Linked DNA regions of Mus musculus. The protein of the gene in region 2 interacts with the protein of the main gene of each other region in a biochemical or structural test. Links are inferred from orthologs where the notes say so. Each region holds a gene or a part of one and is shown on either strand. Other genes may lie near its edges. The genes, in order: Abl2, Erbb2, Rasa1, Syk, Supt6, Fgr and Tns3.

What was found.
Region 1: the proteins of Erbb2 (region 2) and Abl2 form a complex in vitro, tested with the Homo sapiens proteins (3 studies listed by BioGRID and IntAct, with this or other methods). The link is inferred for Mus musculus from reciprocal best matches to the Homo sapiens genes ERBB2 and ABL2.
Region 3: the proteins of Erbb2 (region 2) and Rasa1 form a complex in vitro, tested with the Homo sapiens proteins (2 studies listed by BioGRID and IntAct, with this or other methods). The link is inferred for Mus musculus from reciprocal best matches to the Homo sapiens genes ERBB2 and RASA1.
Region 4: the proteins of Erbb2 (region 2) and Syk form a complex in vitro, tested with the Homo sapiens proteins (2 studies listed by BioGRID and IntAct, with this or other methods). The link is inferred for Mus musculus from reciprocal best matches to the Homo sapiens genes ERBB2 and SYK.
Region 5: the proteins of Erbb2 (region 2) and Supt6 form a complex in vitro, tested with the Homo sapiens proteins (2 studies listed by BioGRID and IntAct, with this or other methods). The link is inferred for Mus musculus from reciprocal best matches to the Homo sapiens genes ERBB2 and SUPT6H.
Region 6: the proteins of Erbb2 (region 2) and Fgr form a complex in vitro, tested with the Homo sapiens proteins (2 studies listed by BioGRID and IntAct, with this or other methods). The link is inferred for Mus musculus from reciprocal best matches to the Homo sapiens genes ERBB2 and FGR.
Region 7: the proteins of Erbb2 (region 2) and Tns3 form a complex in vitro, tested with the Homo sapiens proteins (2 studies listed by BioGRID and IntAct, with this or other methods). The link is inferred for Mus musculus from reciprocal best matches to the Homo sapiens genes ERBB2 and TNS3.

Annotation. Positions count from the first base shown.
Region 1 is NC_000067.6:156,557,307-156,561,586, forward strand, and holds the start of Abl2 (tyrosine-protein kinase ABL2), read left to right. Parts: upstream 1-1,480; 5' UTR 1,481-1,742; coding exon 1,743-1,899; intron 1,900-4,280. UniProt on the Homo sapiens protein: Non-receptor tyrosine-protein kinase that plays an ABL1-overlapping role in key processes linked to cell growth and survival such as cytoskeleton remodeling in response to extracellular stimuli, cell motility and adhesion and receptor endocytosis.
Region 2 is NC_000077.6:98,411,019-98,415,283, reverse strand, and holds the start of Erbb2 (receptor tyrosine-protein kinase erbB-2 precursor), read right to left. Parts: upstream 2,801-4,265; 5' UTR 2,622-2,800; coding exon 2,549-2,621; intron 1-2,548. UniProt on the Homo sapiens protein: Protein tyrosine kinase that is part of several cell surface receptor complexes, but that apparently needs a coreceptor for ligand binding. Essential component of a neuregulin-receptor complex, although neuregulins do not interact with it alone.
Region 3 is NC_000079.6:85,254,987-85,258,486, reverse strand, and holds part of Rasa1 (ras GTPase-activating protein 1), read left to right. Parts: intron 1-16; coding exon 17-169; intron 170-2,012; coding exon 2,013-2,148; intron 2,149-3,032; coding exon 3,033-3,103; intron 3,104-3,500. UniProt on the Homo sapiens protein: Inhibitory regulator of the Ras-cyclic AMP pathway. Stimulates the GTPase of normal but not oncogenic Ras p21; this stimulation may be further increased in the presence of NCK1.
Region 4 is NC_000079.6:52,641,882-52,645,381, forward strand, and holds part of Syk (tyrosine-protein kinase SYK), read left to right. Parts: coding exon 1-124; intron 125-1,158; coding exon 1,159-1,271; intron 1,272-3,500. UniProt on the Homo sapiens protein: Non-receptor tyrosine kinase which mediates signal transduction downstream of a variety of transmembrane receptors including classical immunoreceptors like the B-cell receptor (BCR).
Region 5 is NC_000077.6:78,242,904-78,246,959, reverse strand, and holds the start of Supt6 (transcription elongation factor SPT6), read left to right. Parts: upstream 1-1,256; 5' UTR 1,257-1,412; intron 1,413-4,056. Other genes in the region: Sdf2 (stromal cell-derived factor 2 isoform 1 precursor), read right to left, coding at 790-964.
Region 6 is NC_000070.6:132,994,595-132,998,094, reverse strand, and holds part of Fgr (tyrosine-protein kinase Fgr), read right to left. Parts: intron 3,449-3,500; coding exon 3,345-3,448; intron 3,178-3,344; coding exon 3,028-3,177; intron 975-3,027; coding exon 819-974; intron 704-818; coding exon 524-703; intron 128-523; coding exon 51-127; intron 1-50. UniProt on the Homo sapiens protein: Non-receptor tyrosine-protein kinase that transmits signals from cell surface receptors devoid of kinase activity and contributes to the regulation of immune responses, including neutrophil, monocyte, macrophage and mast cell functions, cytoskeleton remodeling in response to extracellular stimuli, phagocytosis, cell adhesion and migration.
Region 7 is NC_000077.6:8,444,536-8,448,035, forward strand, and holds part of Tns3 (tensin-3), read right to left. Parts: intron 1,207-3,500; coding exon 1,111-1,206; intron 489-1,110; coding exon 411-488; intron 1-410. UniProt on the Homo sapiens protein: May act as a protein phosphatase and/or a lipid phosphatase. Involved in the dissociation of the integrin-tensin-actin complex. EGF activates TNS4 and down-regulates TNS3 which results in capping the tail of ITGB1.

The DNA.
Region 1 (4,280 bases), on a different chromosome or scaffold from region 2:
AGGACAACTTTTACTGTCAGTTCTTGCTTCTTTTAAGACAGGGTCCCTTAGCCACTGCACATGTAAGCCAGGTTTCTGGAGACCCCCTTATCTCTGCCTCCCCCCTTCTTGTGGACCAGCTGGGATCACAGAGCTTGGGCTGGTGCATCTGGCTTTTCTCTATGACCAGTAGCTGCTTGTGTGGGTCCTAGGCAGCAAGTTCAGGTGGTCAGGCTTGCAGTGCAAGTCTTCTTTGTCATTAACCCATCTTTCCCCAGCTCCTAAGGCTCTTTAATAGTGAATATCAAAATCAGCTGGAGTGGGGGGCGGTAGTAGCAAGTGGTAGAGCACTCACCTGGAACTCAAGGTCCTGAGTTTGAGTCTCACCCACATGCACTTGTGATCTTACACCATTCTACAAAAGACATGTATGGGGAATTATATCTATTTTGCTAATTCTTTTCTTCCCCAGGGTGGTTTTCCTTGGTTTAAGCAATGGCTCCAGTCCTCATGGCACATAGGGTGTACATCTATAAAAATAGCTTCTCTTCTGTCCATTTCTCTATTTAGACCCCAGACGGTGAAGATGAGTAAGTTTTGACTCAGAAACAAGGTCAAAGTGATTTATCTTTTCCTTGCCAAAAAGGAGGGCCCAACCTGCACTGAGAGGAAAGCATGTCTGTGAGAAGAGTCGCTTTACTGTCAGGCATTTTATTTATTTATTTATTTTAAAGATTCATTTATTTATTATATGTTAGTACACTGTAGCTGACTTCAGACACTCCAGAAGAAGGCATCAGATTTTGTTACAGATGGTTGTGAGCCACCATGTGGTTGCTGGGATTTGAACTCGGGACCTTTAGGAAGAGCAGTCGGCGCTCTTAATCACTGAGCCATCTCACCAGCGCCCCACCAGGCGTTTTAAAGTAAACAGAAACACATGCGGGTAGGTCGATGGTGGAAGAGTTCAAGAGAAATCCACGGTAGTATGAAGAATTGAGTTCTAACCGCTTTGCCAATAAGACGGCAAAGTGCACATCAAGAAATAATTCACCGAATTAAGTTAACCCCGCACTTGACCATCTCCCCGTGAATTCTGTACCATTCCAAACTTCATTCTGGGCCCAATGCTAAGTGTGTGTGAAGGGCTCCTCAATTGAATGGCAGCGAAGCCCAGGGATCAGGAGCCTCAGCTGTTTGGTGCTGAGCTGCGCGGCGCACGTGGTGGCTTCTCAGCCTCTTCTGATTTGACAGGTGGAGGTGGGACGGGAAAGGCCGGGCGCCCACAGTCCTCCAAGTGGGGCAGTGTGTGGAGCCGAACGTGGGTGAAGGTAGCAGTAAAAGCACTCGAGGGCCCTCGAAAGCTTCGCTGACCCTGTGGGCCCCGGCTTCCACCCAGCGGGGCGCGGCGCGGGGCGGGGCTCCGCCGAGCTCCGCCCACCGAGTAGCGGAGGTGCTTGGGCGAGAGGGGGGCGGGAGACGCTCTGTCCCACGCTCGCCCTGTGCTCGGTGGTTTAAAGATGGCGGCGGCGGCTGGGGCGAGGAGCCGCCGGAGGGGGAGGGAGAAGGAGAGTCTGTGAGTCGCTGGGAGGCAGCGCGGCAGCGGCTCCGAGGAGTCCGCGTGGGAGCCGCCGGCAACTCCGGCCCAGAGGGCCTGGGCTTGGGCCGGAGAGACCGGAGCGGCGCCAGGAGCTCCGGAGGCCGGAGCAGAGGAGGAATGTGAGCAAGGGTCGGCGGGGGCGCGGGAGTACGCGAGCGGCGGGATGGGGCAGCAGGTGGGCCGCGTCGGGGAGGCTCCGGGGCTCCAGCAGCCGCAGCCGCGCGGGATCCGGGGCAGCAGCGCAGCCAGGCCCTCGGGCCGCAGGCGGGACCCGGCGGGGCGTACCGCAGACGCCGGCTTCAACGTCTTCACCCAGCACGGTGAGTGTGTCCGGAGCCGGTGGAGGGCATGAGGGAGGCCGGGGAGGGGTGGGGTGGGGTCGGGGCGAGGTGCGAGGCGGATGGGCAGCCTTCGGGGGGCGAGGGCTGGAGGGGTGCCCGCGAGTGGGGGCGGAATCGGCTGCCATCTGGGCCAGTCACGGGAGGCGAGGCACACCCCTCCCCCCGCCTGGCTGGCAGCGTCTGGGGGCGGCGGCGGCGGCGAGCACGAACCGGGGTCTTAGGGACCCAGGCTTGACTGTCCTGCTATCCTGGGACAGGACGGGGCGACTGTGGAACTGTGGATGGTATCCCCAGGGAGGGAAGGATGAAGGCAGGTATGAGCTCAGGTTCAGGAGGTGGGAGGATAAACCGGTTGTGAACGACGGGAACGAGTCGTGCCCTGAGGAATTGGGAAATAGGTACTGAATCTTTAAGAGATTGTGGTGGCATATTCGGTATGTGCTTTATGAACCAGGCGGTGAGCAGTGTCAGAATGGTGAACTGTGAAACCCTTTTCCGTATCTTTTTACTTTCAACAGAGTATTTTCTCCAAACTAGAAATGAAAGGCTTTGCCAAACCACCCTGTTCTGCCTATCCGAGTAGGACACAGGATTCTGAGATGGCTGGCGGGGCTGTCGATGGGTGGGCATGGTTAGGGCTTCCTTCCATGTGGTCTGAACATGAGTTTTTCTTTGAGCTGCATTGGTGTATACATATGTGCTCCGCATAGTCTGGGACTTACTCGGTGTCATATTCTTCAGAAGGGCTGTTTCTAAACTATTTAAAATTATATTTATTTTGTGTGTATGTGTATGTGCGCACACACCCATGTATGCAGAGGTCAGGAGACAACTTGGGGAGTCATTTCTCCCAGGTATTAAACTCTTTATCAGGCTTGGGGGCAAGTGCCTGAACTCTAGTAAATACAAATTTTGAGCACATACTCTTAATTTGTGTGTCTTTATTAATATAGACAAGGTTATAGTAATTAACAAATAATGTAATCAACGGTCAGAAATAGAGTATAAGAAAGGGTGCCATGAGGAAAATTAAGTATAGAGCCTTGTAAATTAGTGACAGTGTACACAGCTTATGTGAGGCCTGAGTTCAAGCCCCAGTATCGAAGAAGAAGAAGAAGAAGAAGAAGAAGAAGAAGAAGAATGAATGAATATTTTTTCCCCTTGATGCCAAGTGGATTCTTTTGTTCTTCCATAGTGTGTTGTTGACCATTTTTAAGAGCATTGTTCTAGAGGAGGGCAGAATAGAGAAGGAGAAAAATATCAGAAGCCATCCTAAGACCTGAGAGGCTGGTGATGGAGATGTAATATCTGTAGGAAGGACCGGCTAGCAGAGGTAGCAAGCTGGTTTCATTGATAATATGTACAGGAGTGAAGTGAAGGATAAACTGTCCCGCTGCACATAGCTCGGGGAAAGGGAAGGAGAAGAAGTGTAGACTAGTCACGGGAAAGGGCGTTTCAAAGGAAGTGACGATAGCATGCAAAGAGATGATCCCAAGACTTGTAGCTGCTGGGTGAGTTGTGTCCGAGTTCTGCATTTGGACTTAGGAATAGACAAATTTTGTTTCCCTTTTCCTTTTTTAATTTGTAAAAGCAAAATGTAATTTTACATGTGTGTGTGTTTTGCTGCATGTACATATACATACCTGATGCCGTATAGGCAAGGAGGAGGGCGTTAGGTCTCTTCCTGTAGATTGATGGTTGTGAGCTGCTCTGTGGGTGCTGGTAACTGAACCCAGGTTCTCAGGACTGGTTAACAGCATTCTTGCACATATGAATTCAGTTTGGGGCAAGTATAATAGTACGCAACTTTAATATCAGCACTTGGGAGACAGAGACAGAAGGGTCTCTTAAGAGTTCAGGGCCACCGGGCGTGGTAGTGCACATCCCAGCACTTGGAAGGCAGAGGCAGGCGAATTTCTGAGTTCGAGACCAGCCTGGTCTACAAAGTGAGTTCCAGGACAGCCAGGGCTACACAGAGAAACCCTGTCTCGAAAAACCAAAAAAAAAAAAAAAAAAAAAAGAGTTCAGGGCCAACCTGGTCTTACCTGTTTTCACCAGTATTCTAATTATAAAAAATGAGGATGTGTTAAAATTACCATGAAGGTTTTCAACCTGGGTAACTGGGATAATAACGATTTTATTGACAAAGTTGAAAGTTAAAAGCTGATGGATAGGATGTGAATATGGTAGCCCAAGACTAGTGTAAAAAAATTAATAAAAACTGGAAGAAATACAGTAAATCCTTTTTAATTTGGGGGGGGGGCGCACGGGTGCTCCAGGGGATTAAACTTGAGGGCCTCATCTAAGCTAGACCGGTGCTCTCCCACGAGCCCAGGCATCCAGCACAAGGAGGACTCTGG
Region 2 (4,265 bases):
CAAAACCATCTATGGAAAATGATCTGGCATGTAAGAAGCAGAAAGAAGTTTTTAAAACGGGAGACAAGCACTTAGTGGGATCTGGGTAATTACAGGAGAAAAGAGAAAGCCTTTTCCATTTGATTTTGAGATGCAATATATTTCTCTCTTTTCTTGTTAGGGTTAATTTTACTTGATGTGTGTCTCTTGCCTGCCCTTGTGTCTGCACTAACACACATGCCTGGTGCCTGTGGAGGTCAGAATTAAGCATCCAATCTAGAATTGGAGTTATGAATGGTTGTGAGCCACCAGGTGAGAACTGGGAACTGAGCCCCAGGTCTTCTGCAAGAGGAATCTATTTAGTCCCCGTATGTATAACAAAAGGTAGGAAGGGCCTGGAGAGACTCAGACTAGAATTGAAATAGGAATGACCCCTGCCAAGTTAAAGACCTGTGTTTACTGCATTTCACAAAACCTTTAGTACTGAGGAACCCAGCAACAGCTTGATCCTCTGGGTCTCCCCAGATCTCCTTTCCCCTACACACCTGCCCAAGACCAGTTCTGGGGTCGAACCTGGAGCTAGAGGCAGCTGATGGTGCCCTGCCCTTTTAACCATTCCTGGCAAGGCAAACTCTGCCTTGTCCCTCTGCATCCAGCAGTGCATCTGAAGGGATGAAGGCTCAGCAGCCCTCCACTCCCTGTCTGGAGAGCAGACCCTTCAGATTCCAGCTCTACAGCACAGGGCCACTTCTGGTCAACTGCAGACCCTACCCAGCTCAGGTGAAGGGTCTAACCTCACTCTTCTGCACGGAAAGTCAGCAGGAAGGCTGGCCTCCTGAGAAACTGAAAGGAGACTCCATCCTGAAGAAGGCAAGGGGCATCTCCCAGTGTTTACAACAGATAGAGCCCAGTGCCTTGAGGAAGTTCCTAGAGAGGGCAGAGTTCATCCTGTGTCCCCAAGTCAGCAGAGAGACTGCTGTTTGGCAACAGAAACTGGGAGGAACACACAACCATCATAAAAACCTCAGACACACAGGGGTATCCCACAGTGAGCACAGCAGTGTGCTGTCAGGAACTGGGGCAGGAGAGGGGGGCAAGGGGGCACAGATGGTGATACTCCACCAGCCTCCAGGCTCGCTGGCCTCTGGAGAGCACCTACTGTTTCCAGAACCTGTGTTCTGCATCTTCAATACAGCCCACTGATTACGGAAGCAGTGTCTCCGCACTGCTCAGCTAGACTCGTATTTATGTGAATCATATATCATATCCTGTGGCTGGTCACATTGCCTGGGATCCACCAGTTACTCCAGGATACTTCATTTCCCCAGCCCAGGTTTCCCCCCTGGGACAAGGAGAAGGCTACTAATGTTTCCACTGTGGAGTTGTTCTTAGTACTGTAGAAGGAATGCATGCAAGCCACCACCCACGGAGCCTGGCAGAGCTGACCCACACGGGGTGACTGTCAGCTTTTACGCTCATGGTAGAACTGGACATATGGGTCAGTATACACACTGCTGGGTCACCCTCCCAGCCCCCAACACGAAGATAAAGGCAAGAAAACAACCCAGCTCTCTGTCTACCCCTAGCTGACCTTACTCCTTTTCGGTGCCCTCCCCCCGCCCCCAAATGCCCAGGAACCCTTTCCAGTTTATTGTATGGAAGCCGGGAAAACACAAGACCACCCTTCAAGATCCGAGCCTTCCCGGAATCCCAAAGCACACAGTACTTAAGCTGGCTCTAAGGAAATTTGTTCAAAACAGGGCTGTGGAGTGTGCAGCACTGTGATAGAGGGCTTGCCTAACACGGGCGAGACTGGGATGGAGGGTAGGGGTGTTCCATCCCCAGCACAGAAGAGAGAGAGAGAGAGAGAGAGAGAGAGAGAGAGAGAGAGAGAGAGAGAGAGAGAGAGAGAGAATGAGAGAGAACTGTTGCAAACAAATGCCTGCCCCTCCTCCTGCTCCCCCATATCCCAGACACTATCGATAGGCAACTCAACTGCGGAGCCGCCACTCGGTCCTCCCTGCTCGACAGGATGGGTTACTTTCCCCACCGCCCCCTCCACGGCGACCCCACTGGAAGCTGGAGTAACTTACTAAACCCAAAGGGCCAGAGGGGGTGGGAAGGGGGAGGGGAGGGGCAGAGGGGACCCCGAAGGCATCCTGCCCAGTCCGGTCCGGAGGCGGAGGCTGCCAACTGGAAGAGCTCTGAGAAAGCGTGAGGGGGGCTCGAAAGGGGGGAAGCAGGCGCACGCACGCACAGCGCTTCACACACCCTCCGGAGGAAAACTTTCCGACTAGTTTCAGAGAACTTTCCCAAGGAGTTCCCGGAGTCTCCTGGAGCCCGGGAGGCTCCGGTGTAGCGAGAAGGGGCCGGTCCGGACCTCCAGTGTGGTTCTCCGAGTGACTGTCCCATCCCCAACTGCTCCGATCTCCTCCGGGCCGCGGCGCCGGTAGCCGGAATCGTCCCAACGTCCCGGACCGCCCGGCCGTGGAGCTCTCGGGGCCCCGCGGCTCCGGCCGCCCGTGGGCGCAGCCGTAGCGGCCCGAGCCCTCCCCAAGCCAAGACCCACCTTGGGTACCCGCGGCTCCGGGGGACAGGAGGGCGAGGAGGAACCCCCAACGGCACCAGGCCGCCAGCTCCATGATGATCACTGCGGCTCCGGCCCCATGGCTCAGGCTGGACCAGGCTGCGGGCGCGGGGCGCGGCGAGGGCAGGCACAGGCGCGGCGCCGGAAGGGGCCGCCTGGGAAGGGGCGCTCCTGGGCTCCGGGTCCCCAGCGGCGGGCAATCTCAGCTCCACAACTTCACGCCGCACTTCCTCGAGCAGCCCTCCTCCTCCGCCTCCTCCGCCGCCGGTGATTGGGAGCCGCGCGCTCCCGGCTCGCCCCCCCACCCCTCCAACTGCATTCCAGCAAGACTGGGAGTGGCTGCTCCCAGCTTCACTTTCTCCCTCCCGGCGCAGGCCTGGGTGCGTCGCGCCCTGTGCCCTGACGCCTCGCTTGCTTGCTTGCAGTTCTCACCCACTTCCTAAAAGCAGGGCATCTCTTTACCCCTCTTTGCAGTCTTGGGTGGGTTTTATCTTGGATACTCTTGGAACGTTTGCATCACACTCTTAATACCAGATAAATGGTTTGTCGCCACATCCTCAGGTAAAATCAGCCTGGGAAGGGAATGTGTTATGTCTAACTGGTGACTTCCAAGACTCTCTGGGATATCAATTCTGTCCTTTTGGGTATCTCCTGCCTGATCTTAAAGGAACCCACAGAACTAGGAGAAGCGAGTCACATCGGGAGCCCTCTGTTCATCCTTGGAAGAACAGCTTCTCCTGTTTCTTTCTCTTTTTAAGACTTATTTTTATTTCAAATTATGTGTGGTCATATATGGGTTTTGGGGGGTGTCACATAAGTGCTGTTGCCCACAGAGGTCAGAAGAGGAAGTGGGAATCCCCCAGAGCTGGAGTTACAGGGTGCCGCCCACCCACTTTGGTGCTGGAAACAGAACTTGGGTCCTCTGCAAGAGCAGCACAGGCTCTCAACTGCTTAGCCATCTCTCCAACCCCATGCCCACTTCGTTCTGACTTTACCCAGTTCTCAGTTTCATTCATCGTCCTCTCTCTCCCTGTCCTTTTCGCCTGCCAGTTTACCCCTGAAGTACCTAGATATCACTCCTGAAGCCTGGTAACAGGTGAGAAAGGAAACAAAGGTATGCCTTTGGTTGGAAACTCCAAGAACACATTGCAAGAGACATGTTTACCAGGATGAATTGCCCGTCGTTTATCTGAAATTCAAATTGAACTTCATTACGTCCTTCTTCTTTATCTGCTACATCTGATGATGGTACTTGGAATGTTCCAGTAAAGAACACACCTGTGCTGGTCAAGATGCAATCAGAGGCATCTTTGGGGGAGAGAAATGAAGGGTGGCCCTCTCTTAATCTACTTTCATTGAACTGAAACTCAGTTTCAGGCAGACACTTCCACGCTAGGGGCCAAAGAACATGGGACTCTGGTATCTAGAAGACCTGAGTTCGTATCTTCCCTCTATCACATTCTGGCAGTGAGACCTTAGGCAAGTGACTGACGATCTCTGGGTCTTGTTTTACAAATCTGTAAGACTGTGTGTGCTAGGGGCTAAAGGAGAAGACACTCTAGAAGCACTCAGCAGTGTAGTGCTTGACACATAATAACTGCTCAGTAAATGATCCCAGATTTAGCCATTCTGGGGCAGATGGGGTGTTTGTGGGGATCAATTTGAGGTACTCAAAGAGAAAGAATACAACATTATAAAT
Region 3 (3,500 bases), on a different chromosome or scaffold from region 2:
TGTGTTTTTTCCCTAGGTGGTATCATGGAAAACTTGATAGAACTATAGCAGAAGAACGCCTCAGGCAGGCAGGGAAATCTGGAAGCTATCTTATAAGAGAGAGTGATCGGAGGCCGGGGTCCTTTGTACTTTCATTCCTTAGTCAGACAAATGTTGTCAATCATTTTAGGTAAGTCTTTGTTCCTAGTTTAAGGTATTTAATATGGCACTTAGTATTTACTCTGATATATATATATATATATATATATATATATATATATATATACATGTACATATATATATATATATACATGTACACACATATATATATATTCACTTTTATAAAAGTGAATGACTTTGGTATAATAAACTTGATTTCAATTAAATTCTTTAATCAGTGATTTAGAGTAAATACTCTTGACGTGTTTAAACTTTTTGTTTAAAGGTAGTAATATTGAATGGGAAAGCGCTTAATGCATCCGGGCTTGGAGATCACAGATTGAAATGTCTCCTGCATCACATAATCTGGAGGTTACATCTGTCTGTGACAACAGGGAGTCTCTTTATGCATTCTTCATTCACTACAGTTTAAGTTGACAATTCCTTCCCAATAAAAATTCACTTACACCTCCTGCCTTTGTTAGCTTTGTGATAGAAGTAGCATGTTGCTGCCAGAATACAAGCATTGCTTTGGGCAAATTAAAATGCACGTCCTTTTTTTTTTTTTTTTTTTTTTGGATTAGTATTTCTATTTATTTATTTATTAGATATTTTCTTTATATACATTTCAAATGCTATCCCGAAAGTTCCTTATACCCTCCCTCTGCCCTGCTCCTCTACCCACCCACTCCCACTTCTTGGCCCTTGCATTCCCCTGTATTGGGGCATATAAAGTTTGCAAGACCAAGGGGCCTCTCTTCCCAGTCTTAATACACTAGAAAGGAGAAATAAAGTACACAAGTCCAAGTCTAAACTTTAGTACTTTTCCATGCAGATTTGTGCACATGTGAGAGGGTATCTGGTTTGCCCAGCAATTATTCTTTAGAGACTTGGACCACTATGTTGGGTGTTGGCTAATCATTGACTGTAGTCCCAAAAAAGCCTTGTGAAAATGTTATGCCCTATGCAGCAGCAGAGTACCATAAAATAAAACTACATTTTATAACCCCCCCAAAAAAGGTAGTAATATTGCCTTTTACAATGGCAGTTTTCAAATATATGTACAATTAAGGAATATATTACTACAGATACATTTTGAAAAGGTAAAAACTAAAATGAAAGATGTATAGATTGAGACTGTAGAGTAACAGAAAATACTGTATGGACGTTGAGGTTGTCCTTAGTTTTTTTTTTAAGTCTCACTATCTTGAAATTCTTAAGATACATTTTCACTTCTGTGAGATAAACAGGTATGTAAAATTTCAAAGGTATATCTATATATAAGTATACTTACCGATACTACTGCATTTCATTTTTGTGAAATGAAAATATGGGAGAAAAATAAAACATAAATCATCTGTAGCTAGTTTTAACTGATAAAATGTTCTTGTGTCTTTACATTTTAGAATAAGTTTTAAGGGTACTGTCATTGTTGTGATAAGTTCACATATATAATTTCACATCAGTAATATCCGATCATAATTTTTATGTAACATTTTTATTACAGTTCACATAAATTTCAAAAGATATGCAAGCTACTTGTAGTCAAAGAAGCCCTTATACAATTGTTGAGTATTAAAAATAGAAAGTAAAGAGAGATATCTGAGGGTAAATTTTCAAATATTTGATTCAACTACATAATTGAGGCTTGTAAATATGTCATATCAAATTCATAAATATTTTAAAATAATACTCAATTTCTGATGATATAAATATGTATTTTTAAAATATAGAAATGTTATATTAATGGAAAAGAGTATGAAATTGATCATATTCAGAAAAGAGACTATAAAAGACTGGCTTTTAAGATCCTTTGCAAACTATGTTTTTTGTTTTTATTTATTTATTTGTTTGTTTTGTTTCATTTACTATAGGATTATTGCTATGTGTGGTGATTACTACATTGGTGGAAGGCGTTTTTCTTCACTCTCAGACCTAATAGGTTATTACAGTCACGTTTCTTGTTTACTTAAAGGAGAAAAATTACTCTATCCAGTTGCACCACCAGAGGTAAGTAAAACTCGCATGATATATCACAACTTTTAGTTTACAAAATCGATGGATTGTAATCTTACCAAATTTCTTACATGTATTAGAATTTAATAAATATTTGTTTTAATTCTAGTTATAATTCTAGAACAAAAAAAATGATAGTTTCCTTCAAAACTAATATTTGTATTTAAGTAACTGGACTTTTAAAGATAATTTTGTGTTTATAGCTTATAATAATTGCTAGAGAAGGTAAATGTTTATATCATAAAAGGTAGATTAATTTCTATGTTCTCTGTAGCTTATTTAAGGATTGTTTAGATTACCCGAAGAAAATGTGTTATGCGTGTAGAGTAATTTTTCTAAAAATATCAAGGAAGAGCAGAAACATGTCTAGGTTCTATGTAGATGCTCAGTAAAGATTACAGTGACTATGGAATTTATAGTATGCAGCTATATTGACTTCAAGCTTTGTGTGAATTTATCTTTTTTGATTTACAGAAACAATCTTCTTTTGTGTGCATGGGTGTTTGTATATGTCTGTGACTGTGTATACAGGCTTGCATGTGTGTCAAGGAAGGAGTGCACGTGCAAACTTATTACTGGTGGCTAGAATTTGACAACATGTCACTCTTGATTGCTCTCTACTTGATTACTTGAAGCAAAGTCTCTGGATGAAACTAGAGCTTTTAAATTTGGTTAGTTTGGCTTGATCGTTTGCCTCAGGTACCCCTGTTCGTTCCTCCTAAATGCTGGCATTACAGGCAGCTGCCATACCTGTCATAACTTTTATGTGGGCTCTGTAGATCCAGCTTGGATTTTCAAGCTTGTGAGACTGGAGATTTAGCTATGGAGACATGAAGCATCTACCAGCTCCTAATTATTTTTACTTTTCATGGTTTCAGCCAGTAGAAGATAGAAGGCGTGTACGAGCCATTCTGCCCTACACAAAAGTACCAGACACTGATGAAATAAGGTATTTTATAGTGTTTTTTTATGTAGCATTTGAAAAGAGGTAGACAATGAAGATTCATTGCTTTTAAACTTGGAAAGATTTTGAATTTGAGAGAATATTATAGGCATATAAAGTTGTATTTAATACTCGATCTGTTATTTTCCCATGGGATGGCTTATCTATTCCCAAGGTTTGTATCAGTGTGGCTACAGTGAAAATTACAAGAGAAAAACTAGATTATTTTTTTAAAAAATTCTGAGAAAGTAGAGATTTCTCTCATAATTTGTGTGCTTTTATTATCTATATCTATCAATCCTACTCTACCTAATCTACCTATGTTCTATCTGTCTGTCTGTCTGTCTATCTATCTATCTATCTATCAGTTTGTTTTTATTCCCCATTACATTTATGCCTCAGC
Region 4 (3,500 bases), on a different chromosome or scaffold from region 2:
GTGGCCCGTGAAGTGGTACGCCCCCGAATGCATCAACTACTACAAGTTCTCCAGTAAGAGTGACGTCTGGAGCTTCGGAGTCCTGATGTGGGAAGCGTTCTCCTATGGGCAGAAGCCCTACAGAGTGAGCCATGCTTAGCTGTGTGTTTTGTGTCTCAGCCTCTTGGACTTAAGAAACCATCCCTCAGTATGGGGTTATTGCCACAAGAACCTGAACCCCTGGAATCTGAGGACACCCTGGGGTCTCCCATCACCTTCTAACAGTGGGCGGCTAGTGCAACCTAACTTACGCTTGTACTCACTTGAGAATGACATGTGATACTGAGTGAATGCATTCTCACTGTGCTACACACATACGTGCACCAGGCACAGGCCATCCTTCCTGAGAGTTAAGTGGAAATGGTGATACGGATGGATGACATCAAGTATTTTAGTTGTAAGCGTGTGTGTTCTCATGTGTGTGCACACCTGTGTATGTGCAAACACATTGTGTGTGTGTGTGTGTGTGTGTGTGTGTGTGTGTGTGTGTGTAGCCCAGAGACCATCCTCAGGTGTCATTCCTCAGGGACTCTCCACTTTGCTTTTTGAGACAGTGTTTTCATTAGCCTAAGCTCACCCAATAGGCCAGGCTGGCTAGCCTGTGAGCCCCAGGGATCTGCCTGTCTCTCTACCCAGCACTGGGCACACAAACATTCAATACCACGCTTGTATTTTTACATGGGTTTAGGGGATTTAACTCAGGTTCTTGTGTTTGCAAGGTGAGCACTTTGCAGCCTGAACTATCCCATGTGTGTGTGTGTGTGTGTGTGTGTGTGTGTGTGTGTGTGTGTATAGGAGGTGGGAGGTGTGGGGGTTCCTGGGTGCAGGCAGATCCTAGGGTGTCACTCAGTGGGTTGTCACAAATGAAGTGTCCCATAAAGCTCATTCCCTAAATGAAGAATCAGAACAGAAACTCTAGAGCCTCCCCTCTCCCCTACACACCCAGCCCTCTCACTGGGCAGCCACATCTGACTCTCGGATTCCAGAGGAGGGGCCCCTAGTCTTATGACTGATGTCGCTTGAAATCAAGCAGCTTGTGTCTGTGTCCCAGTGTGTCTGCAGGTGAGGTACTCTTGTTTGTATGTGTTTTGAAAGCTTGTGTGCATTTTCACGTCTCAGGGGATGAAAGGGAGCGAAGTGACCGCCATGCTGGAGAAAGGAGAGCGGATGGGGTGCCCTGCAGGATGCCCGAGAGAGATGTACGACCTGATGAACCTGTGCTGGACTTACGAGTGAGTGCCCAGCCCTTCCTGCCATCGACCCGAAGGTTCCAGAAGTGGGCTGTGTGGCTGCTGTCCTTGCTTCATTTCTGCCGCTGTGATAAAATGCTCACAAGAAAGTCAGGGCGGTTGAAACTTAACCCATTTGATGCTCTCACAACACATCAGAGAGCTGTGCACAGTTCCGGTGCTCAGTTCTCTTATCTCCTTTCTTAGAAAGTCCAGGATTCCCCGGTCCAACAGCAACCCGTGGTAGCCTGAGTCTTCACACAATCAAGCCAATTCCCCAACAGGCCAACCTGTTGGAGACAGGCCCTTGTTGAGCCTCTCTTCCCAAGCCGTTCCAGACTGTGTAGAGTTGACAATTAAAACGAGCCACAGCTGCTGTTATGGAGTTTGTGATCCCTGGGAAGAGACCACAGGCTCGATCCAATTATAATTAAAAGCTGTATCGATTAGCTGCCAGCAGGATGAACAATCTCTGAGCCAATTTTTGAAATTGCTGTGAAGGAGGGATATGAGGAAGGGTTTGTTGTTGAGGGTTTTTATTTGTTTGTTTGTTTGTTGTTTTTTAAGAGGAAAACCATGGAAAGACCTCCCATATCTAAACAGGCAACCAAAAATTGGTCTGTTCTCCCAAGTTAATTGGCCAAAGCAACTCAAAACAATCTTCGGGTATCTGCATAAGCAAGTTACAGAAGCTAAAAAGGCAGTTAGTCATGGCATGGCAAGTAGCCAGTCACATCTGTACCCTTTAGGGTGGAGATCACAAGTCGGGGTAACTGGGAATGTATCTTCCAGGGACTGGAGTCAGAGACAAAAAACACCTAGAAGGTACCAAGATGGATGCCTGATTTGAGCCATCACACTGGGTATTAAAATGAAGCGTGAGTTCTCTTGATGCATCAGGAATGTGCCACCTTCTATGTAAATCATCACAGGAGGCGGTGCCAGAGATTGGCTGTGTTACTAGCCAATCATGGTGTTTCATGGCAGGCATACTACTATATGCATTTTGTAACTGTGGGGATGTCATAAAGCATACGTAAGCAAACTAGGGCAGCTGCAAAGTCGCCAGCTGTTACAATCTTATGAGACTGTGATGTGGATTGGGAGAAGTCACAGAATCCCAGATGTCAACTCAAGCATCTAGAACACTCTTGCCTTCCACAAACTCAGACATGTCTGGGAGCATCACTGCTTCCAAGAATCCTAACATCGAGGCTAGATGCTCCTGCTGACCACAGACAGCTCAGTACCAGAAGTCTCCCGATAGTGGTGCAGAGTTGCCACTTGCCACGTTCACCACTGCTCAGCCCATAGGGTCGGAAGCCCCATCCCTATTCTTGGGTACAGTGTATTTTGCCTTCCCCTCCATCCCCTGAGCAGGACAGACACCGTGCACGTGGTGAGAGCGTGAATCCACTGTGAGCCACTGGGCATGCTCTGCCCTACCTATGGGAAGGATCCCAGCCACCGTGATAAAGCTGTTCGGTGCTAGTGAGGCACTCGATGTTAGAAAGCTGACATTGAATGTAGCCATACATTTTTTTTGCAACGTATTTTTAATAAAGGTTCAACCTCCCCTCTAGCCCGCCACTCAGCAGAGGTAGCAGAAGATAAAAGTTATTCGGCTATGGGGGAAGTGGACCTGTTCAGCAATAGTTCTTTGGGGGGCGAGCTTGATCCTCTTGGGCAGCAGCTCAGCCCTGTAGCAAACACCAAATGTGATTCAGCAGCTGCAGACCAGTCCGCTAGGCAGGCAGACACCAGGCATGAACCAGCAGCTACAGTTAAGTCTTTTCATCGCTTGCTTTCATCGCTTGCTTGCCTCAGCATCTAACCTGTAGGCGACAGCACAGACTTGCTGGGCAAAGACTTAGGATGCACAGGGTTGGGCTCTGAACCAGACCACAGCCACAGAAATCTGTGAGTTCTAGCAAGAGCACAAACCAATACCCCCTCTCCTTGAAAGTCCAGCTTGAACGTGGGTATGGTATATTACAGCTGTGTCCATATTCTCCTCTTAAGATTTTTAGCCAAGGGACTAAGGAGATGGCTCTGTTGGTAAAGAGTTACTGTTGTGTAACTCTAGGGACCTGACTTCAGTCCCTAGTACCCATATAAAATACACCAGGCCTGGTGGCAAGTGCTTGTGGTCCCAGCACCAGCAAGGAAGATGGAGACAGGAAAATCTCAGATGCTTTCTGGTCAGCCAGCCTTGCCAACTTGACAAGTTCT
Region 5 (4,056 bases), about 20 Mb from region 2:
AACTTCTGTTGTTTTGAGACAGCCCCCACTATATAGGCTAGGCTGATCTTGAAGTTACAATCCTGCTTCAACCTTTTGAGTGCTACAATTACAGACCTAGGCCACCACGCCTGCCCATTAGTCTTGTTTTATTGTTTGATTCACTACTGTATTTCCTGTATCTAGAACAATACGAGACACACTAAAAGTGCTCTTTAAATCTAGGCCAAATGAATGAGCCCACGAATAAGTGAGTATTTTAATTGCACATGATAAAAAACAGACTTTCCTCTGCAATGTCTGTCAATGCTTAAATTCTTTACAAGAAAGTTATTGCTAAGTTAGAGTGTCAAAAAATATGAGCTAAAAATAGGTGACATTTAAAATCTGAGATTCAGCTTATGTTGTCTTGCTCTAAATGCTCCTCTCTCCAGCACAAAATAGTGGCAGCCCATGGAATCTGAAAGATTTTGAACCTGCACAGATTTGGATTAAACCCTGTCTCCATCATTCACTAGCTGGCTTTGAGCAATATCTCTAGGTCTATTTACTCACCTAAGAAAATAACTTTAGTATCTGTCCTCAATACAATGTTAAAAACCGGAAAGTATATATGTAACACGTTTGGCCCACAGCTCATCAAACAGAAACTAACATTAGGACTAAGTTTCCTTGGCAACTCGTCGTCCTCTTCAAGAAATAGGGCACGGCTAACTTTCCCAGACCACGCCCTCAGACTCCGAGGCCCCGCCCCTTCTAGGCTCACCCGGCCTAGGCAGCCCACCCAGAGCGGTGAGTCCCCCTCTGTACCTGACCCATAGCGCACGTCGTGAGAATGCAGTCGGACATTGTGGCGTGTATTGAGTAGCTTCACCACGGAGCCGCAAGTAACGACAGCCATGTTGGACGCTCCCACAGCGCTCCACAAACCACCCAACAACAGAAGCGACAAGACAGCCATCCTAGATCCGAGAGAACTAATCATCCAAGAAAATTAGGCCCGTCCCCGGAACCGGAAGCCGAGGGTAGAACTACGCCAAGATGGAAGAGAAGACTCCTTAACCTGAATCTTTATGGTTCCTTTGGCGAGAGCGGCTTAAAGAACACGCTGGCCCGGGAGGCCTTCGGGACCTCACTTTGTACTGGGTGCTCTGTGGCGGCTGCGTTCCTTAGGCGTTCGCGGACTCGGAACCAAAGCCCTAGACGCCGGAGGGGAAAAGACAGCAGGAAATGACCCTCCCACTCCCAGTGACAGAGAGCCGGAGGTGACGTACTACGTTAACGCAGCAGCGGCGACGGTGGTGGTGGTGGTGGCGGCGGCTGCGGAGGGCCCTTGCGGTGGGTCCGGACTATCCTTTTGCAGTCTCTGATCGGCGACTCCATTTTCTTCGGTGGGAGCTTAGCGTAGCGGAGAAGCAGCGGCCTTCAAGCAGGTAACGCTCAGCCTGGAGAGTGTGTTGCGTGTGTGGGTGCGCAGGTGGCGAGCCAGACTCCTGGGGCCTGGTCCCGTAAGGGAAGAAGCTTTGGGGTGCCCCACTGCGGGAAGGAAGGGGGCCCTGGCTTTCCCTGATCTGCCAGGGGGGAAAAGGACAGGAAAGTACCGTGATTGCTCAGAGTCTCCAGCCCTTTCTCCACGCGGTACCACCCGGAACCTGTGACCTGGGGTTACCTCTTGAATCAACAGGCTTTCTGGGATCCCATCTTCTCCGCGGCGTCTGGAATCTGGGCCACGCAAAAAATTGGGACTAGAAGAGAGACCTAAGGGTTTCTTTACTTGGCATCAGGTGATCGGATTAATTAGTCCGGCGTTTGGGTCCTGCTGAGCTTTCGAGAGTTCAGCCATGAGGCGGGTGTACTGTGCTGAATGTTAGCTCTTTACAAAATGTTGAGTAATTATACGGTTTTTTTTCCACATATGGGCAAGTCCCTTAATCCTTTCTAAAGATGCGAGTTTATACTTAAGTACCTGGAGCCTTCCATCTTGTATAATTCATTTCCTCGAACACTTGCCAAAGACCTATCATAAATATTAGAATTGGTTGTTAAATCAGAAATGTGTATTGTTTGACATCAGGTACTCGAGTATCTTAAGTAAAGCAGTTCCTCTGTATTACAGAAAGAATCGATTTCTGTTTTCCTTTAGGAGGCGGGTCTCCTGTAATAATTACATGAAAAGACACGGTAATACAAAGGTCATAGGGTAATTTGTTTTTCATCCCGCCCCACTCCATTCCCGCTGCTCCCCTTCTTCAGAATCCTCCATTACTTATTACTTTCATTAATTTGTGTGTGTGTGTGTGTGTGTGTGTGTATGCCTCAATTAGTTAATTTATGGTGGTTTACAAGTACATGGGTGAAGAAGTATTCAGAGAAGCCTGGGCTACAACCCTAAAGAAAATGTTCCCCTCCCCCAGCAACCATGAATTACTATCGATCCTTAGGGTTGGTGGGATCTCATGATGAGCCCCTCCCCCCTAGCAACCGTTAACTGCCCATAAACCTGTAGGAAGGGAGGAGCCTGGTCCCCCTCCCCAGCATTGAAGTATGCTACAATGTGTGGAAGTCGTTGAATTTAATTAATTTTGGGGAGAAAAAGTTTAGTTCTATTGTTGAACACTCACAGTTTGTGAGTCTTCAGTGTTTTAGTTACAAAACAATTATAGCAACAATGGAGAAGCTGAGCCAGGAGGATCATGGAATTTACGTTTTGGTTGCATTTGTAGACCCTGTCTCAAAAACAGCTCTCCCTTCAACCACGAGTTTAGAGCCCCTCTCCATGCCTAGTGTCCCACCACTACAGGCTTATTTTATTTGGTTGGCTTGTGTGACTATTAGATTAGACTAGATTAGATTGGTAAAGTATTTTTTGTTGTTTTTATTTTTTTCAAGACAGGGTTTCTCTGTATAGCCCTGGCTGTCCTGAAACTGACTCTGTAGACCAGGCTGGCCTCGAACTCAGAAATCCGCCTGCCTCTGCCTCCCAAGTGCTGGGATTAAAGGCATGCACCACCACTGCCTAGCTTAGACTGGCAAAGAATTAACACTCTCCAAATGAACTTAATCTTACTTACCAAGTGATATATCAAGCCAGAAAGTAGAACAGTCCTAAAATCCAATCAAAGCTTATTTACTCCCTCTAGTTCTTTTTTTGGTTTTTGAAGACAGAATCACTCTTTCTAGTTGTCCTTGAATCCACAGAGATCTGCTTCCTGAGTACTGGGGACTAAAGGCTTGTGCCACCACCATCCAGCAATATTCTTGTTCCTAATAAATGTAATCACCATCTGGGTCGGGTGTGATCACTGGCTTCCTCACAATGATTTCCCAATATCAATCACCAAATCCTATGTTTCAGAAAAGACCAAACCAAACCAAACCAAAAAAAAAACCAAAAAAAAAATCAAAACCAAAATTCTGTTCTAATCTCTCTGAAAGGCCACTCCAGCCATCATCTTCCTTGACAGGTAGCCTAGGCTGACGTAGGAGTTGTGGTCACTCCGCCTCAGCCTCCCCAGTGCTAGAAGTATAAACATGTGCTGTTACTACTAAGCATAGCTTCAGCACCCTAATTTTAAGATTTTCATCCTATAGTCAGGTTTCAGTTTATACCAGTTCAACTTTCTTACCTTTCACCAGGACTTTAGTTAATACCAATCTGACTCTCCTTGGAACTGCTCACCAAAATTATTGTGGACACCAGAAGCTACTAGGTGGCCAAATCCAATGGTTACTCTGTTTTCATTTCCGAGTCTCTGGACTAGTACAGTTGCTAATGCTTGGCTCTTGGATTTTACTCTATTGAACTAGCTGCTCCTTTTTAGTCTTAGAAAAATGACTGCATTTTTATGTAGTTCTCCTGTATACGTAGTTGAGTGGCAGGTATTTTTGCTGGCTGAGTCGTCTCACTGGCCTTTGGTGTGTGTGGGCTGCCTTACTTCTCCTTAGGCATACTGCTAGTTCCTCACTCCCCAAAGGTTAAAGTTAAAAATATAATCATACTGATCAAACTAATGCCCATCAGTCCTGGATCCGAGCAGTCCTCTTTCCTTAGCCTCCACGTAGCTGGGGCTGTAGACA
Region 6 (3,500 bases), on a different chromosome or scaffold from region 2:
AGGCCAATAGAAGAGAAGTCTGGGAAATGACGCCTGCTGGTCCAGCTTACCTGGGCAGCCATGTCCACTAGATGGGGCAGCATCAAGTTCTGACCTTCTCGATCCTTTAGGAAATCCAGCAAGCTACCTAGGGGGAAGCAGCCAGAAAATCAGCAGCAAGCCCCTACCTCCAGCAAGCCTTCTTACACTGGCCTTGCCCTTACCCAGCCAGTCTAGCCTCACTTTGCCCCCCTCTCTCCCGGTTCTTTCACCTAGATCAATCTTCCTGCTCTGACTCCACCTCCGAACCCCTGGACACGACCCACTTAGACTCCTCTCCAGGTCGGCTCTCCATTCCCAGAGCTTGCCTGGTATGCTCAAAGATATCCACATGTTGGCTAAGCACCTTCTGTCAAGAGGAGGCCCCGCCCCCCGCAACAGTCCCCGCCCCTAACCACTCCCCCTACCCCCTGGAACTATACAGTTTCTAGTTCCTTTGCAGGTCCCTGGTCCCACCCATCCAAATCCTGCCTGTCCCCCTCACCATAGCACATGAACTCTGTCACAATATAAATGGGTTCCTCCGACACCACCGCATACAGCTGCACCAGCTTGTCGTGCCTCAGCAGCTTCATGATCTGTGCCTCCTCCAGGAATGCCTTCGGGGACATGGTGCCCGGCTTCAGCGTCTTCACTGCCACCTTTGTGCTGCAGTTCCATGTGCCTGCTCAGTGGCCGTATACTCATCAAGACTGGCTCCCCGCAAGTCCTGTGCCTTTTCCCAGACCCCAGACAACCTCCCAGCATCCTCCATCCCCATCCCCACCCCCATCTCCTACCCAGCCACACATCTCCAAAGCAGCCGGTGCCCAGCCTGCGTTCCAGTGCTATGGAGTTCCGGTCGATCTCCCAGGCATCCTTGGCCAGGCCTAGAGTCTGGGGCTTAGTGGTGGTACAAGGCGCCGTAAGCAAGTAGCACAGACCATCATTCACTTCTGTAGGAAGGGCAGATGGAAGGAGGTCACAGATGGAAAGTTATGGATACTCTCTCCGAAACGCAGCCCAGCATCAGACCCCAAGCTTAGCTGCCATAAATAATCAGGGCCTAGTGGAATACTCATGCTGGTAATTCCAGCACACAGTAGGCTGAGGAAAGAGAAAGGAGTTTGATTCTAGCCTAGGCTACAGGGTCTTTCTCTCTCTTTTTGTTTTAAGAGATTTATTTATTTTATGAATATGAGTACACTGTAGCTGTCTTCAGACACACCAGAAGAGGGCATCACATCCCATTACAGATGGTTGTGAGCCACCATGTGGTTGCTGGGAGTTGAACTCAGGACCTTTGGAAGAGCAGTCAGTGCTCCTAACCTCTGAGCCATCTCTCCAGGCCCAGGCTACAGGGTCTTAAATAAATAAATAAATAAATAAACCCAGAGAAACGAAAATAGTTTACAGTTTGTCTTCACAAGCCAGGATTAAAAGAAAAGAAAGAAAGAAACAAACAAAGAAAGAAGAGCCAGGCACAGACAGTGGTGGAACACAACTTTAATCTCAGCACTCAGGAGGCAGAGGCCAGCCTGGTCTACAGAGTGAGTTCCAGGACAGCCAGGGCTACACAGAGAAACCCTGTCTTGAAAAACAGAAGATAAAAAGGTTCCTATTTGAGCTCACAGCCAGGAAAGAAGACAGTTCAGCCCTCTGAGAACTTGTCTGTGCCCAAGGAAGGGCAGTAAGTATACAAAAGAGAGATGACCCCCGTGGAAACTTTATGGGTCTTCCGAGGAGGTGGCCTCCAGCCAGGTCTTTGAGGACAAGGACTAGTTCTGACAGGTAAAAACAGAGGTAAGGTTCTGAGGCGAAACTGTGGACATGAGTCCGTTCCTGCCGCAGATCTCATCCTGGGCCTAACCAGTCAAGATGGGGACGAGAGGCACTGAAGGTGCCTGGTCTCCATGCTGGGTTTTACTCCTGGATGGACCATAACTGCTTAACCCCACAGGAGGCCTCGGTCAGGTCAGGTCCTTGCTGCCTCCTGCTCAGGCTCAGAATCATTGGCTTCTGCTTGTTTGCTGTCACCACATGGAAAATGACCGCAGCTGTCCAAGGGACCGCTCCTTCAGCCTTGTCCCCGACGTCCAGGTAGCACACAACAGCCAGAGAGTCTCCACAAAGCTCTGATCAGCTTCTGCAACCCACTGCTTAGAGCAGCAGTTCTCAATCTGTGGGACATGACCCCTCTGGGGTCGCATATCAGATATCCTGCCTATCAGAGATTTACATTACAATTCATAACAGTAGCAAGATTACCGTTATAAAGTAGCAATGAAATAATTTTATCGTTGGAAGGGTCACCATGAGGAACTGTATTAAAAGGTGGCAGCATTAGGAAAGTTAAGAACTGCTGGCTTAGAGCCTATGATAGATAATGACTCTGCCTAGGAAGTACAACAGGGCCAGCAAGGTGGCTCAGCAGGTAAGGTGTGAGCCAGCAGCCAACCTAGCCACCCGGGTTTAGTCTCTGGGACCTATATGGCAGAAGGAAAGGACTTACTTCCACAAGTTGTCCTCTGATTTAGACACACACAACGAGAGAGACAGAAAGAGACAGAGAGACAGTGAGACAGAGAGATAGAGAGAGAGAACAACAAATGCCCCACAAAGTTTCCATACACTGAATAGACCGAAGCCAGCAAGATTTTGCTCGGCAGGTAAAGACGGTGTCTGCTGGCAACCCCAATGACCCGAGTTCCATCCCCAGGACCCACTTGGCTGAAGGAGAGAATCAACTTCCACGAGTTGTACTCTGACACGCATGAGCCCCCCCCCCAAAAAAAAATGTAAAATTTTCAAAAGTTCCCCAGGCTTAGGCCTGGAAGCAAGATTAGGAGGCATTGCTTGCTCTCCGTCTGCTCAGACTCCACACAGAGCAGAATCCTGGCCTAAGGACGCATGTACGTGGCCCAGCCACTACTTCTTTAGGAGATTTTTGTTCTCCAGGCCTCAGTCTCCCCGTCATGACAACACGGTCAGTCACACTTAGCAGCTCACCCATGTAGTGCCGCACTAGGTCCTGTATGGAGTCAAACTGGGCCCGTGTGGTGATGTAGTAGCCGCCCGTGTCCAGCTTTCGGATCTTATAATGCTTTATGTGATCGCCTCTGTTCTGGTCCCAGTCACGGATGGACAGGGAGTAGGCCCCTGGGTGGAAAGGGTCCTTTAGTTCTCGTCTCCCTCAGAGCAGGAGGAGGCCCCCAAAGGAATTCCCAGAGCCCAGCTTAGCTCTGCCCCTCCACTTGGCCCTGACCCAAGCACTGACCAGCCCACTGTCCTTATTGTCTGGTGGCATGTCTGCCGTACCAACCCACCTTTGGTGGTCTCGCTTTCCCGAATGAGAAAGGCCCCCTGGGGGTTACCAGAGGACAGAAGCTGCCTCTCTGCATCCTTTCTACTGATCTTTCCGAAGTACCACCTGTTAGGAAAAGCAGGCAGAACCAGGCACATTCATTCCAAACGCCAGTTCA
Region 7 (3,500 bases), about 90 Mb from region 2:
TGCCCAAGGAGACTAGATCTTCTACAACTACAGTTTTACATGGTCGTAAGCTGCCTAATGTAAGTGCTGGGAATTGAACTCAGGACCTCTGGGAAAGCAGTCAGTGCTTTTAACCACTGAACCATCTCTCCAGACCCCAAGTGTTTTACATCTTTAAGCTGAGCAGTCTTTGTTTTCTGGACACCTTCCATACAGGCCACGATGGGCAATGTCTGAAAGCTATTATCAGCAGCAGGGCATTCTTCTTTCTCAATTCAGGTGGCCACTAGTTTTCTTTGGGGTTTAAGAGTATATGTCATAAAAAAAGAACCTTAGTTTATTTTGTAAGGTGGGTCCTGGGTACAGCATGCTATCAGCGGTACAGAAGATCGTACACGCAGCCAGATAGCACTGAGAACTCCTCCACATACCTCTCTCCGGAATGAGCAGCTTGCAGGGTAAAGCCAAGGGCGTAATGGAATGCTGGCACACCAAAGCCGTCAGGCTCCCTATAAAGTGGATAAGAGTAAATGAATGTCACCAATCTCTTCACTTGCTCTGTGCTTAACCAAAGAATCAGTTGAGACCAAAATTCCAAAAACGCATGCCTTTATACCACTGTGGGATGTGACTCAAAGCTCCAAGAATGACAAGGCCCAAGCCAATGAAGAGGGTGATGGAGGGACCTGTAGTGTATGCCAAGCATATGGCCTTTATAAGTGCGAAGTGCCGGGGCGCTTCTTACGAGTAGGAAACAAGGCTGCCCCGGTCTATCCAGAAGGCTCTCAATTCACAAAGAAGGGGGAGCTCTGGTGGCAGCACTGTGCTCCTCCTCCTTGTGCCTGAGGCATGGGGACACACTGCGCTCCAACCCTGCTGGGACCCAGCTGCTGACCTTCACCTTGTCTTATTCTAGCTCTCGGAGGATCCCTTCCGTTTATTTGGTTTTTGACAAGGCTTCTAAAGAACAACTGCCCCTTCAGCTTATCTTAAAGACCTCACGTGGCAGCCTGACACCCTGGGGCTGAAAGGAGAGAAACCCATTGTGGTACAGAGTCCCTCGAATCTCAAGCCACCTGAAGGAGGGAATCTATGCTCTAGAAATTCAAAAGAGCTTCTCAAGTAACTCACCAAAATATGGTTCATTTGAGCACCCTTTCAACCGCACTCCCTTTGGGGTACACTCAATCAGGAAATGCCGGACAAGTTCATTGGACAAATCTCCAGCTGCGGGAAGAATAAAAATTTATTGTTTTAAATTTAAAATGTAAGAGAATCAAAGTAGGGATCGAGGGTAGAGAAAAAAGAGAGAGAACTATATAGAAGACAGACAGACAGACAGACAGACAAGCTTTTATATCTGCCTCCTGCAGATATCAAATCTAAGGGCTACACTTAAGAAGGCTCCCTCTAACTAGGATTAAACCACTGCACTACTGGGCCACTCCCAGAACCACTCCTGGGATGGTCAGTGGGCGGGGCCACAAGGCAGGTGGATAGTAAGACTTAAGAGTCCCTGAGAGACAGACACCCTCAGGCGGAACTCCAGAAACTCCCAGAGACGGGATGAACTGGCAGCTTAGAAAGACCCTGGCCTTGGAGCACCAGCTGCATTCCTCCAAGAGAGGAAAGGCCACCGAGGCTCCGGCAGAAAAGACTTCAGTACAGAGCTGGAAGGATGCCAGCCCTCTGGGTGAGGTGGAACCGCCAGCTGGGTACAGAAACGCCTGCAGCAACAAGCAGTCTGCTATGTAGGGGCAGCATTCTACCAAACTGCTAGTAAACAGGACACTTGTGTTCAAGCCAGCTGCTGAACCGAAAGAGAAGAAGCAACTGAATGGAAAAGTACAAACTGAACCAGGAGAAAAGAAGTCACTGCCCCAAGCTGCTAAAGTCAGTAGACACCCTGTGTACTGCATCTCTCTCCTTAATTGCTGTCTTTAGCACTCTGAGACCTAGCCTCTCAGTATAATTGATATAAAGCAAGACCTACTAAATTTGCGATTCGGGAGAGGTTGCCAGACTCTAGTCTGTATAAGCTGAATAAAACCTGGCAAATTTTGAGCCCCAGTATGAGGCCATAAATGGAAGATTCCACACCACGAAACTTTGTTTCATGAACGAAATAATGGAAAATATTGCATAACATTACTTTCAAAATATATGGAATGTATATGAATTCTATAGGAGATGTAAATGAATTTAATCTTAGGACTTGGGTCTCCCAGGTTGTATTCCCAGCAGCCACATGACAGCTCACAACTGTCTGTAACTCCATTTTCAGGGTATCTGACACCCTCTTCAGGCCTCCATGCATACTAGACATGTACAAATTTATGCAGTCAGATATACAAGGAAAAATATCACACAAATAAAATAATAAAGAAATAATTTTTAAAAAAGACTTAAGCCTCATTCCCAAGATACCTCATTATTAGTGTACAAATATTTTGAAATCTGAAAATAATCAGAAACCGTCGCCATATCTGTTTGGGGCCATTTATGATGAGAGATCCTGAGCTGCATTAGGCTCCAATGATGCTGATCAACACCACACATTAGCGGCAGTACATGTTAGCATTTCCTAGGGGCAGTCAAACCTGCAGGGATTCCATGAAAGTCTGACACATAAAACAGAGGGAACAAAATATGACACTTCCTCTGTGGGAAGAGAAGGTGTGGGGCTTCCAGCCTAATGAGAAAACCCACTGAAGGTCTGGATTCTACTTGTGGAAAATGGCCCCGTGAAGATCCTGCTGCCAAGGGTGTTTTGGAACACAGAGTCTAGAATGACCACAGCTGTCTCATCTCAAATTGACTGGAGGTGGCTCAGTGACTAACTGGCTCTTCACTCATTTGGTAAACTCTTCGCTCAAATCTATCGTTGGACTGGGAAATACAAATGTCAAACCCAGGCCTAGGTATACACACAGAGTCGAGACTGTATTTCAGCCAGTGGAGACCACCATGCTGGGTTTTCTGACATCTGCTATTCACATAGCCTCTATTTTGTTCGTTTATTCTCAGACTTAGTCTGAAGGCTGCCCAAGGAAGGATACATTCCCAGACATTAGAAGTCTTTTCCTGATATGTCACTAACTGATGTTCCTAAGTCAGACCTGGTAGTCCTCAGCAGCCAGGTCTGAGTGAGTGCTTCATGATAAAGGCCATACGTCCCCGCAGTAAGGTTCTGTTGAGCTTCTTAGGCGGGAATCCTAGACGTTCTATGTGATGTCACTTACTCTCCCACTCCCTCACAGAAGCCCTGTCAGCACCCCCAGGTTTGGGAGCTGTGCTCTGCCTGAGTCCCAGGTGCCTCCCAACCACACTTCCTAGCCTTGCAAGGCAAGCACATTCCTGAAGCAGGTCAGCCACCTGTGCCTGAGGCTGGCCCACTTGCAACCACATCTTACAACCTCAGTACACCGTGTACCATGTTTGCTCCAGGAAGCTTTCAGACAGATTTCACACAAGAGTTAGGATGGCTCATCTCAGACCCAGGCATGGGATGGGACAGACAG